Drosophila melanogaster: one gene and its partner. The protein of the gene in region 1 interacts with the protein of each later gene in a pairwise test. Each region holds a gene or a part of one and is shown on either strand. Other genes may lie near its edges.

What was found.
Region 2: the proteins of Rgl (region 1) and Ras64B interact in a two-hybrid assay, tested with the Drosophila melanogaster proteins (one study listed by BioGRID).

The regions. Positions count from the first base shown.
Region 1 is NT_037436.4:13,914,134-13,925,204, forward strand, and holds the start of Rgl (Ral guanine nucleotide dissociation stimulator-like), read right to left. Parts: upstream 5,833-11,071; 5' UTR 5,061-5,832; coding exon 5,058-5,060; intron 393-5,057; coding exon 1-392.
Region 2 is NT_037436.4:4,137,314-4,141,898, forward strand, and holds Ras64B (Ras oncogene at 64B), read left to right. Parts: upstream 1-1,762; 5' UTR 1,763-1,865; coding exon 1,866-1,946; intron 1,947-2,593; coding exon 2,594-2,681; intron 2,682-2,737; coding exon 2,738-3,147; 3' UTR 3,148-4,085; downstream 4,086-4,585. Other genes in the region: Rop (Ras opposite), read right to left, coding at 1-1,501; Akh (adipokinetic hormone), read left to right, coding at 4,273-4,341, 4,410-4,580. UniProt on the Drosophila melanogaster protein: May be involved in endocytic processes and/or other transport pathways mediated by vesicle trafficking. May interact functionally with ROP protein. Ras proteins bind GDP/GTP and possess intrinsic GTPase activity.

The DNA of each region.
Region 1 (11,071 bases):
CTGCGCGGCTTGGCAGATGCGGATCTAGATCGCCGCTGCTTGGCTTCCTGGTGCTTTTGACACAAATGCGTTGGCTCCACCGGGGTCATGGACTTTTTCCGCTGTCTTGGACAGGTGTGATGGTGATAGTGCCTCTTGGAATCCTTTGCATCCTGCTGCTGCTGCTGCTGCTGCCGCTGCTGGTGGTAGGCGCAGGATTGGCTGGTGGTGTTGTTGTTCACCTGCCGCCAGGCATTGCTAAAGTCCGTGTTATCCAGCGGAGGCATCAGGGCGCGATTATATCCTGTCAGATCCTGCAGCTGATAGGCGCAGGTGTGACTCTTGATCAGAGCGGGCTTCTGCTGGTGCTTTTGGCTATGCGGGCATTTGCAGTTGGCGCGACTTGTGAAATTCTGTAGATTTAAGTTGTTGGGTTTGGTTGGATTTCATTTTTTAATATTATTTTTGGGGGGCGGTGTTAAACTCTGAAGAGTTTGCTTTGTACTTGATCTTGGTCTCGGGCTGTGGTTCATTGATTGACTGCAACCCTCAACCCACTTGAGCTGTCTTCTCAGTTCGTTCACAGAGCCCCTGACCTTGGCTACGATTTGACTCCAAAGGCACACACGACCACAATCGAGTGGATTGTTCAGCTGTTTGATGTTTATGAGCTACTCAACCCAAAAAAAAAAACAAAAAAAACTACAAAAATACCCAAAAATAGAAAAAAAAACAATACACCAAACAAACATACAAACGAAAAGTGTATCTTTGACAAGCGACTTTGTACTTCAAGTGGCGCTCACTACTCACTCATCCGCACCATATTTGGTTAATGGGAAGTCTTTACCCCGCGAATCCCCTATCCCCTGGGGCAGATTTACAGGCAATCTTTGTTTAACCATTTCATATTATATTAGGCGCGTTGTTCATCCCGGCCTATAATCGTAAACAACATCCCAAGTACGACGATTCCGGCCTCCCAATCGGGATGTGTTCAACTTTTACCAGGAAGTTATTACAGCCAACTAGTTTGTTTTCGTTGTTTTCGGGCCATAGTATTTCACGGCTATTGACAGCTGCGCACAGGTTTCGCCAAGGAAATATATTCATCCGAAAATACTCTAGCAATGGATAGGAAAGGAACAGGAAAAGTTTCGAACAATAAACAGGCATTTTTAAAAATCAAGTTCAACACAAAAGTCTTCTAATCATATTTAATAATGTGCTTCTTCCACAACAAATAATATTATTATTAGCTGCATCTTATTTACATTCAAATAATAGGCTAAACTTGAATATTCGCTCATAAAAAAAAGAAAAAATAATATTTTCAATACATTTTATATATTTTTGCTTATAAGAATGATTGTTTAATTATTATCTTTTCTTGAAGAGCATTTCCGCTTCGTTCAATTCCAAAGAAAGCTCCACAATATTTGCCTAGATAAATATTTTCATGCCTGTGGTGTGGAAACTGCGTTGCGCTTTCCTTTTCTCCATCGGTTTTATGGTTTTTACCTCGCCAGAGATGAACTGGCCCAGCCCATTTCATGTAGAGCTTAGCCATAAATTTAGGCCAACACCGACCATTTTGCAATTTTGCTCAATTACAGCCCGTACCGGCTCCATTGCCAATTACATAACTCGTTTCTGGCCAAATTCGTGCGAAGAGAAATGTCATTTGGTCGGTAGGTCTTTAAGCCATCTCTCTCTTGACAACGAAAAGACAAAAACAAATTATTCCAGAGGGGTCAGCGAAGTGGTCGTGCGTGAGGCAAGGGGAAAAAGGTCGGTTCCAGAGGTCCCGAATCTGGAACGTGCCTCGCGTGGCCAAGAGCAACCAGATTATACATATATGATGCCTTGAAATTAAATAAGCGATAAATGCATCGAAGACCAAACCATCAAATACGCATCACGAAAATTAAATCGAGCACAATCAAATACTCCAAATATATTCGAATACCGACCGATAATTGAGGCACGTTCGCCTGGCATGCGTCATTCGGTGGAGAAGGACTAGGATTTTCTTACCCCCAATTAAAGCTCCATAGTCGAGCATGAATAATGCCCATCTGGGTTACGGATACAAATTTATTGGTCGAATTAGTTTTGTGCAATGAACCATAGTCATATGCAAATTTATACTATAAAAAGCAATTATATATCATAAGATCAAGAAATAAAAAATTTTTATTTAAAATACTGTTTGAGCTAAAACTACCAATTGTGAGACTAATTTTAAATGCCTCATTTAATTTGCTTAAATACTCCAAACAATAGAAAAATTTCTAATTCGAAATTTCCCAGCTTAACAATTAAGCTTGAACAGAACTTAGTAATGATTAGCCAGAATATTGCATATTATTTATGATGTAATATTTAGTTAGCACTGCGCTGCTGGCGATAAGAAATATGCTTGCTTATTTCGCAAATATAAGAAAGCTTCTCCAAGTTACACTTTGAACCGAAAACTGATTAGAATAAATCCTTCAAAGCTCCAGGCCAAACAACCCAGACCCATATATGTATGTATGTACATATTCATATATGTTTGTAAATATGCGCAATGCGCATACTTATAGAAATCTTTTTGTTTGAGATTCCTTCGTCTAATCAATATGCACATATATGTATTGCATTCGATTCGTACCAAGCCCCAGAACCTAAATACACTCATTTCATTCACGATTATTATTACAGCGAATGCCAAACGAGACCGAATGAAACAGAACACAACTCGGCGAGGAAATGACGATTTGCATACGGTTGATATTTTACCTTTTGAGTTCGAATGATTCATCAGAAAATACCCAGCCCGTGCAAAAAAAACTGCGGCAGAAATAAAGCTCATTAAGTAATGAAATAATATAGTATTATAATGCCAGACGACGGGCAATTGTCAAACATATTCGTGTTTGTGTATACAAGGCACCCAATTATAAAGAAATAACATCCAAGTATGAGGGGGCGCCTGATTGGTCGGCCCACATCATCATCTGTCTATATATAAAGCAGGTGACCTTTCCTCCAGAAAAGCGTGTGGGTGGCGTTTTCTGCTTTTCCGCCCAGGGGGGGTTTCTCTCAATTACAGATCTTCGCAAAAATAGCCAGAAACCAAAACAAAGGAGAGTCGAACCGCAACATCAAAGCGAAATGGTACTGCATTTGCATTTGGGGTGAATTTATCAACAAACAGCCATACAGCTGAGGTCACAATATTGATAGATTAAAAGTGAAAATACATCTAAGGAAATGGATCAATATTTAAATGATGAAACATGACTCTGAGATAGTAAAATAGTATTCCGTTTGAGATATTCGATTTATAGGTAAAAGTATTGCAATTTGTATCGATGTAAAAACAGTTCTTTGAGAATTTCCTAGTTCTTGGCGGCAATAGATTAGGTGTCCGAAATAAGCAATACATTTCGCTTGTCTTGAAAAATGAAAAGGCATTTATTTTGACCGCAATTGTAGACACAAATCTCTATTTTTAAATCGACGACCCCTGGCACGAGTTTTGTGAATTGCAGCAACAGAAGCAGCGGCAAAAAAAAAACAACGCAAAACAAAATTGAAAACGCCAAGGGAAAAAAACGACTGAAACTAAACACCAGTCTCTCCCCCTTCCCTCTGTCATCCCTGAATGACTGACTGACTAAATGACTGACTGGCTAAATGACTCTGACTGACTGTCAGTTACATGCGACTGCATCCGACGCAGTCAACTTGACAACATTTGCTGCTCCCTCGGTGCACATAAAAAAAAATGAAGGGAATTATGATCAAATTTAATTGCATCGGCCTACTAACACAGGTCCATCAAGATTTTACATCGTTTGTGTTTATGAGAAATAATAGAACAGGCATTACTTGGCATTCGATATTCTATCCCTAATGTCTCCTTTTCGCTATATTACAACATAACGAATATCAACCGATGCCACATCCTGTTGCAATTTTTAATTTCAAAAACCATAATTCATATCCGAATAAAACTTTTATTTAACGTGTATATGTACATATGTATCTGTCTCTACTGCAGAGCAGCTGTCCCGCTCTTTCGGCTATTATCAAACCACATCCGTTGGGCAGCAGCAGAGATGATGTGCAAACAATACAAAAACATATCAACCTAAGCTAAAGTTTGAGCCACTGAGCATAGCTCCCCACGTAAATTATTTTTTTTATGCATTCCCCCATCATTCGCCAGTGGGTAAAGGAAGTGGGGGGCGGAGCTTTTGTTTTGCATACAATGGGAGCTGATAAATGATTTCTAGGGGCACTCCGCATAAATGGATGATAAAGAAACGAAAATATAACTGGGACTGCAACTGAAATGATCTCAAACTGATTCACCTTTAAATTCATAGCTTTAATTCGTTATCTTTCACCTGCGAAACAAATTATATACATCACTTAAGAATACCCTACACCATTTGTTCCCAAGCATAAGTATACCAATTTTGAATGCTTTTTAATTAGCATATAAATTCTCGAAACTCCCAAAACAAAGCTTCTCCAAGCTTGGCAGTTCCCATATGATTCATTTATAACTTGTAAAAAATTCCCGACTTTTATCGATTCCTATTCCTTCCCCACCAAAAGAAGGTGTTTTATTTCTGGACTCCACTTAGGCGTAAAGTTTCCATACCATTGCATTTTTGCCCATAATCATTGTTGACATTTCCTTGTGAATCGACACCAAGACACTACAGTAATCCCTCTCCACACAAAACCAGATCAAGTACACAGCAACTAGTTTTCAGGGTTGAAAATTCTCGGACAAAAAAAGGTGCGCATTATCGATAATTATCCATGTCGTTGATTTAAGGGCGAGGGTCAATAGTAATAAAATTCAAGCCATTAATGTTTTTATCTTATCAGGAGTTTGTTACCGATGTATTGCTTATTGCAGAAATATGATGTACTTGTTTTAAATATATTGTTAAAAAAAAACATTTCAATGTATCAACGTTCGAGTGACCACTGTAAGGGCAGGATAAGAACCAATAGATCTAAAGTGCGCTCCTTTCTAATCCGGCCTGATGGATTGCGTTGTTTTTTTTTACCATTTGAGATTGGCTTTTGTTCCTTGAGAAATGTTGCTGAGATTTCCACGGATGCACTGCTTGGGTTTTCCTATCCGTTATCCTCTTCTCGTCGGTTCGCTTTAATTTACACGTCTCCTTTAATGGCTTCTGGTGTTTTATTTTTACACCCAAGTGCAGTTCAATGGGTGGTGGGGGTGTTGTATAAGTAAAAGGCAAGTAAAATCGATATTCCTGCTGCTCTTTTTTTGTACTGGGCTTCTGTGTTCTGGCCGCTATACCGTTGTTCAGCTTCCTGGGAACGATGAGTCAACGGGACATAGAGAAACACACCCAGTAGCAGTAGAGGTGGGGGGGTTAATATTGGTATTTGTTCTCCGGTTAGTGGTAAGTGGTGAATCCTTGGTCCGCGAAGAAGGGTTCGTTGCACTACGTCTATGCGTCTGCCTGGCAATCTCCTCTTTGCTCTCGTGCTTTAGCACGTCTTCCCTACTATTTATTTGTTTTCACTTTTATCTCTTTTCCTTTTGCTAATGCTGCACTCGCACACACGTAAACGGCAATTTTCGGGATACCGCTTGCATTTTCATTCGCTTGGCTGAAAATCTCAACATGAGATATCCATGTTATTACAAAAACATTATACAAAATTCACATTCGGGGGTTTCTCTACTTGGAAAAGGGGAGCGTAGGGGGCGCAGAGCGTAAAACGCGCGCGAGACACACACACAAAGCTCTCGGTAGAGAGACACGCGACGCAACCGCCGCCAACAACAGTCGAAGACGAACTCTGCCCGCTTAGAACAAACGACCGCCCGAAACCCCATCGTCTGTATCCAACTCTCGCTTACTCTCTCCCACACGCTCTCTCTGTCGGGGATCCACTCTCTGTCATTAAGAACGCAAGCATTTTCGGGGGATGTTCTTACTCGACGGATGTAACTGTAGCATCCCCGTTCTCTCAATTGCACTCTCTCGTTCGCTTTTCTCAGGTACTCAAGTTTTCGACCGTGGGAACTTCTAGCAAAACACCCACTATGGTTTTACACCTTGCGTGAAGGTATATTGGTTGCATCGAACAAGTTCAAAAACACAGTTAACATTAACAATGCATTCCAATATTGGTTCCGAATTTAAAACACCTACATATTCTCACAATTTATAGTCAATAAACTTAAAATAGAACTTTTTCCAGATAAACTGTCAATTTACCATTGAATTGGTAATTGATTTTATTTCTTTTGCACTATGGTAACTTGGCCTTTTAAATCAATTTAAACAAATTTCTTTAAAACTTCTTCCTAGTGACTGTTGACACGCTAAATATAAATAAATAAGTTTCTTAAAATAAATACACGGTATATATATGTCGTATCAGAACAAACATAAAAATCTTACTTGCTCTGGCCATTCGCGCTCTGTTTATGTTTTTTCTGATGAGCAATTGACTGTTGGCTTGTTTGTTTCTAATCAGAACTCTCTCTCAACTCTCTCTGTCAATTTTAGTATTTTTTGGTATATATTTACACTGACCCCCACAATAGCATTTGTCTTCATTATAGCTTCACATTTATCAATGGAATTTATGGGCCTCCTAAACCTGTAGGATTTTATTCCAAATTTTTGATTAATGCCAACAAAGAAATTTAAATAATTTTCTTCCATGTTTTGTTTGGCTTTTTAGGCTATCATTTGACCAACCGTTCAAACATGTGAACTGGAATGACATAATTATGGAAATGGGAATACCTGAGTGTTGTCTGGTATTTGGTAACGATTTAAAGAAAGCTGGCGGGGAAATCAATAAGCAGAAATATTAATAAAACGTGCATTTACGTAAGCGCCAATCAAACGATGCCTGCTGTTTTGTTTGTTGCTTGTAGACATTGGATAAATATTCGAGACCATGAGCACGTCAATTGATCAATTAGCGAATGCAACAAGTTTCAATACAAAAAAAGGCACTGATATTTGTTATGCACTTGGTGATGCTGATAACGAATTTTATATAAAGCTAGAAAAAGAGATCAATTAAAGATTGACCCTCAATGTGCTTCATGATGTTGGTGTCAAAATAATACGGTTTAAAGCTATAGTAAATTTATTTAAAATTATTGCTGTTCTCCCTATCAGAAAGTATGGAGAATAATATTTTAAAACGTAAACGTCATAATATATATTTAGATGAAAAATGTTGTGCTCCAAAACTTTAGTCATACGAAAAAACCGCTCTTGTGTTGTGATCGTGATAATAAATATCACAAAAATTATAAATTAAATTATAAATTATAAATTTCTTTAATTCGATTTTTCGGCACCACTCTAATCAAAATGTTGCAACATATTTTTCATTAACTTAGTCTACGGACTATTTGACCAAATAATTAGCAGACCTGGGCAAAAAGCCTCCACACAAAGTTCGGTGCTCTGCGAGATACTTTCAAAATGACTTTCTATGCATTTCCCTGTTACTTTCTACGCTTGCTATATACTAGAGTACATGAACAAGATAATGGTTTAGCTACTCACCAAACTGTCGGCCACATTTTGACTCATTATAGTCTGCAGCGTTGACGATGGCCAGATGCTGCAATTACTTCAAGGTGCGTGCTGCTCAAAATCTGGTGCGATGCAATTTCCGATGGTGGTGTTGTAGATGCTGATGATAATTGTGATGATGACTGGTATCTGTCGGATACGCGCATTTTGGCTTGGCACAGCTAACGACGAACAATGACTCGAAAGCACACACTCTTTGGGCGGACACGTGTAACGCGTTTACTTATTTATTTTCATTTGGGTTGTGCAATTCACTCGGCCAAGCGGATGTATCTGCAAGATACGCGACCAAACTTGCAATCGGATCGACACAAATTTCAAGTTTTCTTTTCCATTTCGTTACCAAACTGCAAGAAAGCGACAAAGCATTCGGGTGAAAACCATTTCAACTCAATGGAAAGTGCGACAGTAGCAGTAGCCCGTAAATGAAACGGTCAATAAAAGTTGAAAAAAATATACGAAGTTATAAAAAATGAACCACAACCGAACGCGCACACATTGTTGGCATTCCAGAGGCTTAGAAGCCAAGACCGCGGAGACCAAGCGCCATCGAACGCCCAGCAACAACTAACCCGCAAAGTCACTGGAATAATATGAATGCGGTTTGAACGTGGCGCGCAACTGATTTACGATATTCGCTACGGAGCTACAGTGGGACGGGTTTCGAGTGTTTCGGAAAAATCTAATTTTCCGTATTGTATGGCTGCGTTCAAATATGGTGATTTAAGGCCCAACAAATTTATGAATTTTATAATACTAAGCGAAAAACAAAAAAAAACACTATAATGAACTTTAAAAATCTATTACGAAAAATAATTACTCATGTCAAATGTGCTCCTCATGAAGTTCTGCTAATTTCACTGTGCCAATCTACAAAAAAAGACAGCAACTGTGGAGTTGACAGCACCTAATGATGGATTTCTTTTTTACGACTCGTAATCGCAGTTACCCCTTTTTGCTGCGGGGAAAGAGTTGGTCGAAAGATAGCGGCTCGACTCGAATTATTTAGCTAACGCAAAACAAAAACATTAATGAAAGTTTTTTTCAGCACAGCCGTTGTTTTTGCTAGTTTATGCTTCTACCTGTTCGCATTGGATCGCTGACTTGGTATGTATGTACATATGTGTTCTGAATAGTTCCCGCAGACAAACATCTACATGAAAAAATGCGGAAAATGTTTGGTCAGACAATACCTGGCCCAAAGAAAAGAAAACAAACGAAGAACAGGTAGACGAATATCGTCAACACTAAGAGGCTTGCCAAACGCACAGGGAGAATCGGAGAAAGATACAAAATCTGAGAGATTCACATTCAGAGAACGCAGAACCGATCAGATGTTTAATGTTTCCATGTTTAAAAGAGAGAACGAACCTTTAAATCAAGCGAATATCGTAGGCATGGGTTAGATTTGTACCCTCAAAAACCATTAAGAAGAAAATATTCATTATATTTGACTGATGAAAAACTATTTTATATGCGATTTCAACGGGATATTTGTTTCCAACTGGCTCAAAAATGATGTGCATTAGGGTCGCATATTAATATGCTCAATTAAAAAATGTTAATAACTTTTTCAAATAGAGCTAAAGACTCACATTTCAGTGTCATTAGGGGCAAGTCTGTTTGGCCAAACACAAACAAAACTTGAAAAATCATCAACCTTGATTACCTTGAGCTCTGAGTGAACCTTCTTAAAGCTCCATAACAACAAGAAGATGATGAGTTGCACAGAGAAAAATACGTAGGTCATTGTTTCTCATTTTTAATGAGTCAAAAAAAGTTCGAAAAATGTAGATATATATATTATTTCAAGTAGGCGTAAGATAAACTTGTTTCTTGTATTTAAAAAAAAAAGTTACACTTTTTAAGAAACTTTTTTCTTCATGTGCGGCTTTACTGCCAAGCTAAGCTCTTAATTATAAGTTGCTCCCCTCTATTGCCATATCCCTATACACGTCTTTTTCCCCCTTAGTATGTTCTTAGAACCAGAAGACATCATCAATTCATTAGCAATTTAAATTTTAAACAAAAGTTAAAACAAGCTGCTCGACGTCAGCGTTTCGCTCTTTACTCTCTTCCAATTTTGCCGTTCTGTCAGCTTGGCGAGCTTTTTGCGAAATTGGTTACTGTTTTTTATTTCGCGTTTCGCCTTTTTGTTTCTTACACCTCCACACAGCTGAGCTGGGGGATCCATAAACGATATAAAAATATTTATGTATGTTCCAGACCCAGTGATATATGGGCTATATTGGGTTGTTGTTGCTGGGCTTTATTGACAAATGGAAATTCTGAATCGGTGGCTTATTTACTCGACGACCACTGTATTTTTGGCCTGGCCTAAACTGAATTAACCCACTCTCTTTCTCTGCTACTCTCATTCGCTCTCCCTTTTGCGATTGCAATCATGATCTCACTCGGTTGTAGTTCTCAGTGTTTTTTTGCCTTACGATATCAAATTGCTTTATTAGCCAAAAATAAAAGGCCAAAGTCGTTTTTAATTCGTCGTTTTTGTTGTTCTGTTTTCCTATTTTTGTTCGATACCATTTCTGTGATTTCGTCTTTGTCACTTTAACACTCGTTTCGAACGTGTTTTTCGGCGGTAACACGCAAGCAGTTCTAAAAAATGGGTAGCTTTTGATATCAATTTATCTTCAGATCAATTTGGCATGTTTCTAGACTTTATTATGTCGTTTAGTTAGAGGAAAATTCCGTTATTAAAAAATGATCTGTCATTTTTTCAAGCAATGTATTCGTTTTACTTTTTTAGTTTGTTTTTTTTTTTTATTTTATTTCTGGCTATTTAATTGTTGATTCGTGATCTTGGTATATATGTATTTATTTTTTGGTCGTTGCTTTTCAGACTTTTACTTTACTTTAATATTGGTTAACATCCATTTGGCGGTGTTTCTCCGACAACTTCACAATTTTCTAGTTAATTTTATAAACTTTTTTGTTGACTATCTCCTGGGCCAACAACTCAAAAAAAAAAACACGTTGCAATTGGCAACTGGTTTACAGCTATGCAACGGCAAGCACACACACTCGCGGCTATATCTTTATGTACACACACTTGCCAGCGTCTAGGTAGACACAAACACGAGAGCAAACAAATGTTGCAGGTGTGTAAATGCCAATTTTTTCACTATATGCAGGCATCTTTTGTTAATATTTTTCTTTTCATTTATATTTTCGTGTAATTTGCGCCATTAATTGTAATTATTTGATTGGGTATTTTCGATAAGCTACAAATTCAGGGATTTCGTTGTATACCTTTTAGATTTTCATGCTGCTTGATTACATATACTTTTTTTGTTGCTGCCACTTTTGTGCACTTTTTTTTTCACACACAAACTCGAAACAGAAAATGCCATTAATGATACTGTTGTTGTTGTTGTTGTCTTGAGCACTGGAAATTTTCGTTACGCTTTGGCAGACATTACGAGCCACGCTCCGCATCCGCGACCCCCAATCCACAA
Region 2 (4,585 bases), 9.8 Mb from region 1:
TATCCTCTATGCAATCCTCCATGATGTCCTTGATCACCGGTGTCCAGCGGGACATCTGGTAGGTGCTTTCTGTGGTGCGCTCCTTGCGCGGCACCGAGTACTGCTTCTTGCGCGAATCTGCAATGACATTGATGCCCAAGCAACTAAGGTTACGCACCATATCCTGATCCTTCGGCGACAGCTGGGCATGCGTAAACAGCTTGGTCAGGTTCTCCTCGGAAATTCCGTTCTTGATCATGACGTACAGGGCAATGATGCGAACCTTGTCGTAGTTCGAGACATTGGCGTCCAGCAAGATGGGCACAATGTTGCGCATATGATCCTTGATCTTTTCGCCCTCGGCGTCCGTGCCCATGGCCAGATCCTGTTCCACGCGGCACAGCTTGTCCACGTAGTTCTGGTACGACTTCATGCAGTCCTCGGCCAAATGCAAGTGGGTGGAGTACTTGGACAGCTCCTTCTGGTACTGCGGCATCTTCTTGATCATCTGCGAGAGATCGCGCATCGACGACTTGTCAGCCGAGCCCATGCGCTTAGAGTCGGTGAATTTCTTAAGGTTCTGAGTCACCTGGGTGGAGACCACAGCGATATGCTCGTGACGCAGCTCCACCCACAAGTCGTCGTTCTCGTCGAGCAGCACCTCCTTATCCGGCTGGTTGGGGCCGGGCGTGTAGCGATACACGTCATTGACGATGGGTAGCAAATCGTAGGCCATGGCCTGCAGGGTGAGCTCGTGCAGCAGCGGCGACACGCAGTCGAAGCCGCGATCCAGGATCAGCAGCTGGGATCGTGCCTTCTCGGGGCCCTCGCCCATGGTGGCATCGTCGGCCTTGTAGGCGTCCAGCTTCTGCTGCACCGACGCGGCCAAATCGATGTTCCTGTCCCAGTCGCTGCGGTAGCGCACATTTGGGTACTCCCCAAGGGTAGCGCACAGTGTGGCTATTTGCTCGGCAATTCGCTCGATGTGCTTGCTCCGAATGGAGGCAAAGGCCGGCGAGTAGAGGCATTGGAATGTGTCCGGCGAGTCCAGCGAGAACACCTGGCATTCGTATGGCAAAAATGCAATGTTGATCTCCTTCAGCGTCTTGATCTTTCCGGCCGCGCACGACTTGCACAGATCGTTGAATAGCTCCTCGGGACAAACTTCGGTGAAGAAGACATGGGCATAGCGATACATGGGCCGCGCTGGGTTCTCGAAGTCTCGTATCAGACCGCGCACTGACTCATCCGACGGCGTAATCAGATAGATCGCGTCCATCGTGGGCAGCGGCTCGCGCTTCTTGTTGATGTCCTCAACCAGGGTGATGCCCTCGGCGCTGATTTCGTGCATCTTGGTGCAGGCGGACACCATGCGCATACCCAGCTTGTCCACCACCAGCACCCGCCATTCCATGCCGCCCGCCCCCGCAGCGGACGTAACGCCCTGCTTTTTGGGTGGTGGAGGCTTGTACTTCACCACCTCGTTCATCAGCTTTTGGCCCACCAGCACTTTCAAGGCCATTTTCACTGCGTTTTATTGGTCACGGGCGCAAAGGCAACTCGATTATGAACACACTGCGTGTAAATATGTCTTTTTAGCTTATTCCGTTCGCTTTTTCGCGTGGGCTAACTTGACTTAAAGAATTTTATCTATTCCTTGGCCAATTTTTCTGTATTTTTTTCGTTTGATGACTTAGCCTTAGTGATGGGCGAAAGTCGATTGCTGGCTAGCGATAGTTGATATCGATATTACTGTCTAGCAGAGACGCGCACCCGTCTCAGTGCGAGTGTGGATTTCTCAGTTAACCGAGAACGGTCACGCTGCTGCTGTCGAGGAAGGAAAATAAAATAATTTTGCTGGCCAACTGGTCGATTTAAACGGGGAAATGCAGATGCAAACGTACAAACTGGTGGTCGTCGGCGGCGGCGGCGTGGGCAAGTCAGCGATAACGATACAGTTCATCCAGGTAAGCCGCCCAGCATCGGCCCAATCCCTGGTGACGTCGCTTTCCACAGGGGCGTTTGAATGTGGGAGTGGGGGGCGATGGCGCACAGGGGCGGTGGCAGGGGGACGGCCCTTGTTTTGGCCAGAGCAACAAACAAGCAACAAGCGACTGTGATGTGCGTCTGTGTTTGGACATGCGTGTGCATAGTTTCGGGCCGAGATCATCACCAACACAATCATCATCATCATCATCATTGGCAGCATCATCATCGCGGTGGCCACACCCCCGTGTGTATCTCCAATTGGGGATCAAGTGGTCAGAGCCCAGAACCAGGGAGTTGCGTTAGACGCAGCCCCCAGTTTTCTGGGTGTGCCGATCGATTCCCCGAGAGTTTGTGCCATGGTCACGACCACAATGACCGCCCGCTTCCATTTATTTTTAGTCATTTGCGTCATCTGCACATCTTTCGTGTATATGCTGTAGCTTTTCCCCAAGATATATAGAGCATAGTGGATAGTGAATGATAAAAGTGACGTGTGTAAACAAATCAAAGGCGGAATGATAAACGCACCCCGCCCACATAAAAAACCCAGTCTTATAATGTTTATATATGTAGTTTTGTGGCCTCGGCAGCTGGCGGTACAATAATTTTAATCCTAATCTTGCAGAGCTACTTCGTCACGGACTACGATCCCACCATTGAAGACTCGTACACGAAGCAGTGCAACATCGACGATGTGCCAGCCAAATTGGACAGTAAGCTTCCTTTCTTTACCCTTACCAGATTCATAATAACCTGATATTTTACCTAGTTTTGGACACGGCTGGCCAGGAGGAGTTCAGTGCCATGCGGGAGCAGTACATGCGCTCCGGCGAGGGATTCCTGCTCGTCTTCGCGCTCAACGATCATTCCAGCTTCGATGAGATCCCCAAGTTCCAGCGCCAGATACTGCGCGTCAAGGATCGCGACGAGTTCCCCATGCTGATGGTGGGTAACAAGTGCGACCTGAAGCACCAGCAGCAGGTGTCCCTGGAGGAGGCGCAGAACACCAGCCGCAACCTGATGATCCCCTACATCGAGTGCAGTGCCAAACTGAGGGTCAACGTCGATCAGGCCTTCCACGAGCTCGTGAGGATCGTGCGCAAGTTCCAGATCGCCGAGCGTCCCTTCATCGAGCAGGATTACAAGAAGAAGGGCAAGAGGAAGTGCTGCCTGATGTAGAAGGAACTAAATGGAAGAGAATCTCCTGAATGCCGCAGCGGAAGCAGGAGCCAACATATAATGATTATAACACCAAATTTTTTGAAAAACACGCGTCGACTGAGCTTTGAATTCCGTTGAGAAGACGATAAACCAGTAACCCGAAACCAGTAACCGCACAAAACGTGTCAACGAGCCCAAACGAAGTGCATTTCTTACCTGCCCAGGTGCATGGCGCATTCAACGAACGAATCGAATAAACTTCGCCACTCTCAAATAGCTACGAAGAATCTTACAACTGACAACTAACAATGCAAAATGCAAACAGAAACACGAAACATAGGTAGATATATACAACAGATTCACACGAATAACTTATATATACATATATATTTCTACATATATTTTTGTAATATTATTTTGTTGATCAACGACAACAATTAAGGACGAATGTTTTCATGATTATTACCAATCGTGGCTCGCAGGCCATTTGTTTTTATAATGCAATAACTAAGCCCAGAACGTTTGTTTCGATTAAGCCAAAACGTAATAATGTGTTATTGTAATTTGTATTGTTATTTACTACTAATATATACGTATACATATATTAACTGCTTACAAACCGATTTTGTTGTAACAAATTGAGTGCCTCGTTCTCGCGCGTAGAAATCTAAAACATCAAACTCTGTATTACACCCACGGCATTTTTGTACTATACCCGCAGCTGCCAGGCGCGCACAACTCACTTAACGATACTTTTGTACATGTCCCCAGTCGGATCCGGATCCTATGGTTTATTGTTCGCCAAATGTATTGCAACAGTTGCTTTAGCCGCAATCTTGTTTTAACTCTTATACACTGCTTAATTTAACGAACTTATTTAATGGTATATAAATAAATATATAATTAAATTTAAAATTAAACATATGCGCAATTCTAATAAACACATGGAGAATCACAAACGCTTCCACATAGAAGATTGTTTCAATGACGCTCTCGACTGGAATTGAAAATTCCGACCCAATCCAAGCAATTATAGAAAGAATCCTTGCTAGTGCTGTGTTAATTACTTACCAGCTGTCTTCCCTTCGAGCTCAATGGGTATAAAAGCGGGCTGAATCGAAGTGGACCAGCATAGAACTCAGAATGAATCCCAAGAGCGAAGTCCTCATTGCAGCCGTGCTCTTCATGCTGCTGGCCTGCGTCCAGTGTCAAGTGAGTGAATTCATATCCCGCTGCAGGATATCCCTTTCTGATGTCTCATTTTATTTTCCTCTATATAGTTGACCTTCTCGCCGGATTGGGGCAAGCGTTCGGTGGGCGGAGCTGGTCCTGGAACCTTTTTCGAGACACAGCAGGGCAACTGCAAGACCTCCAACGAAATGCTGCTCGAGATCTTCCGCTTCGTGCAATCTCAGGCACAGCTCTTTCTGGACTGCAAGCACCGCGAGTAGATAGC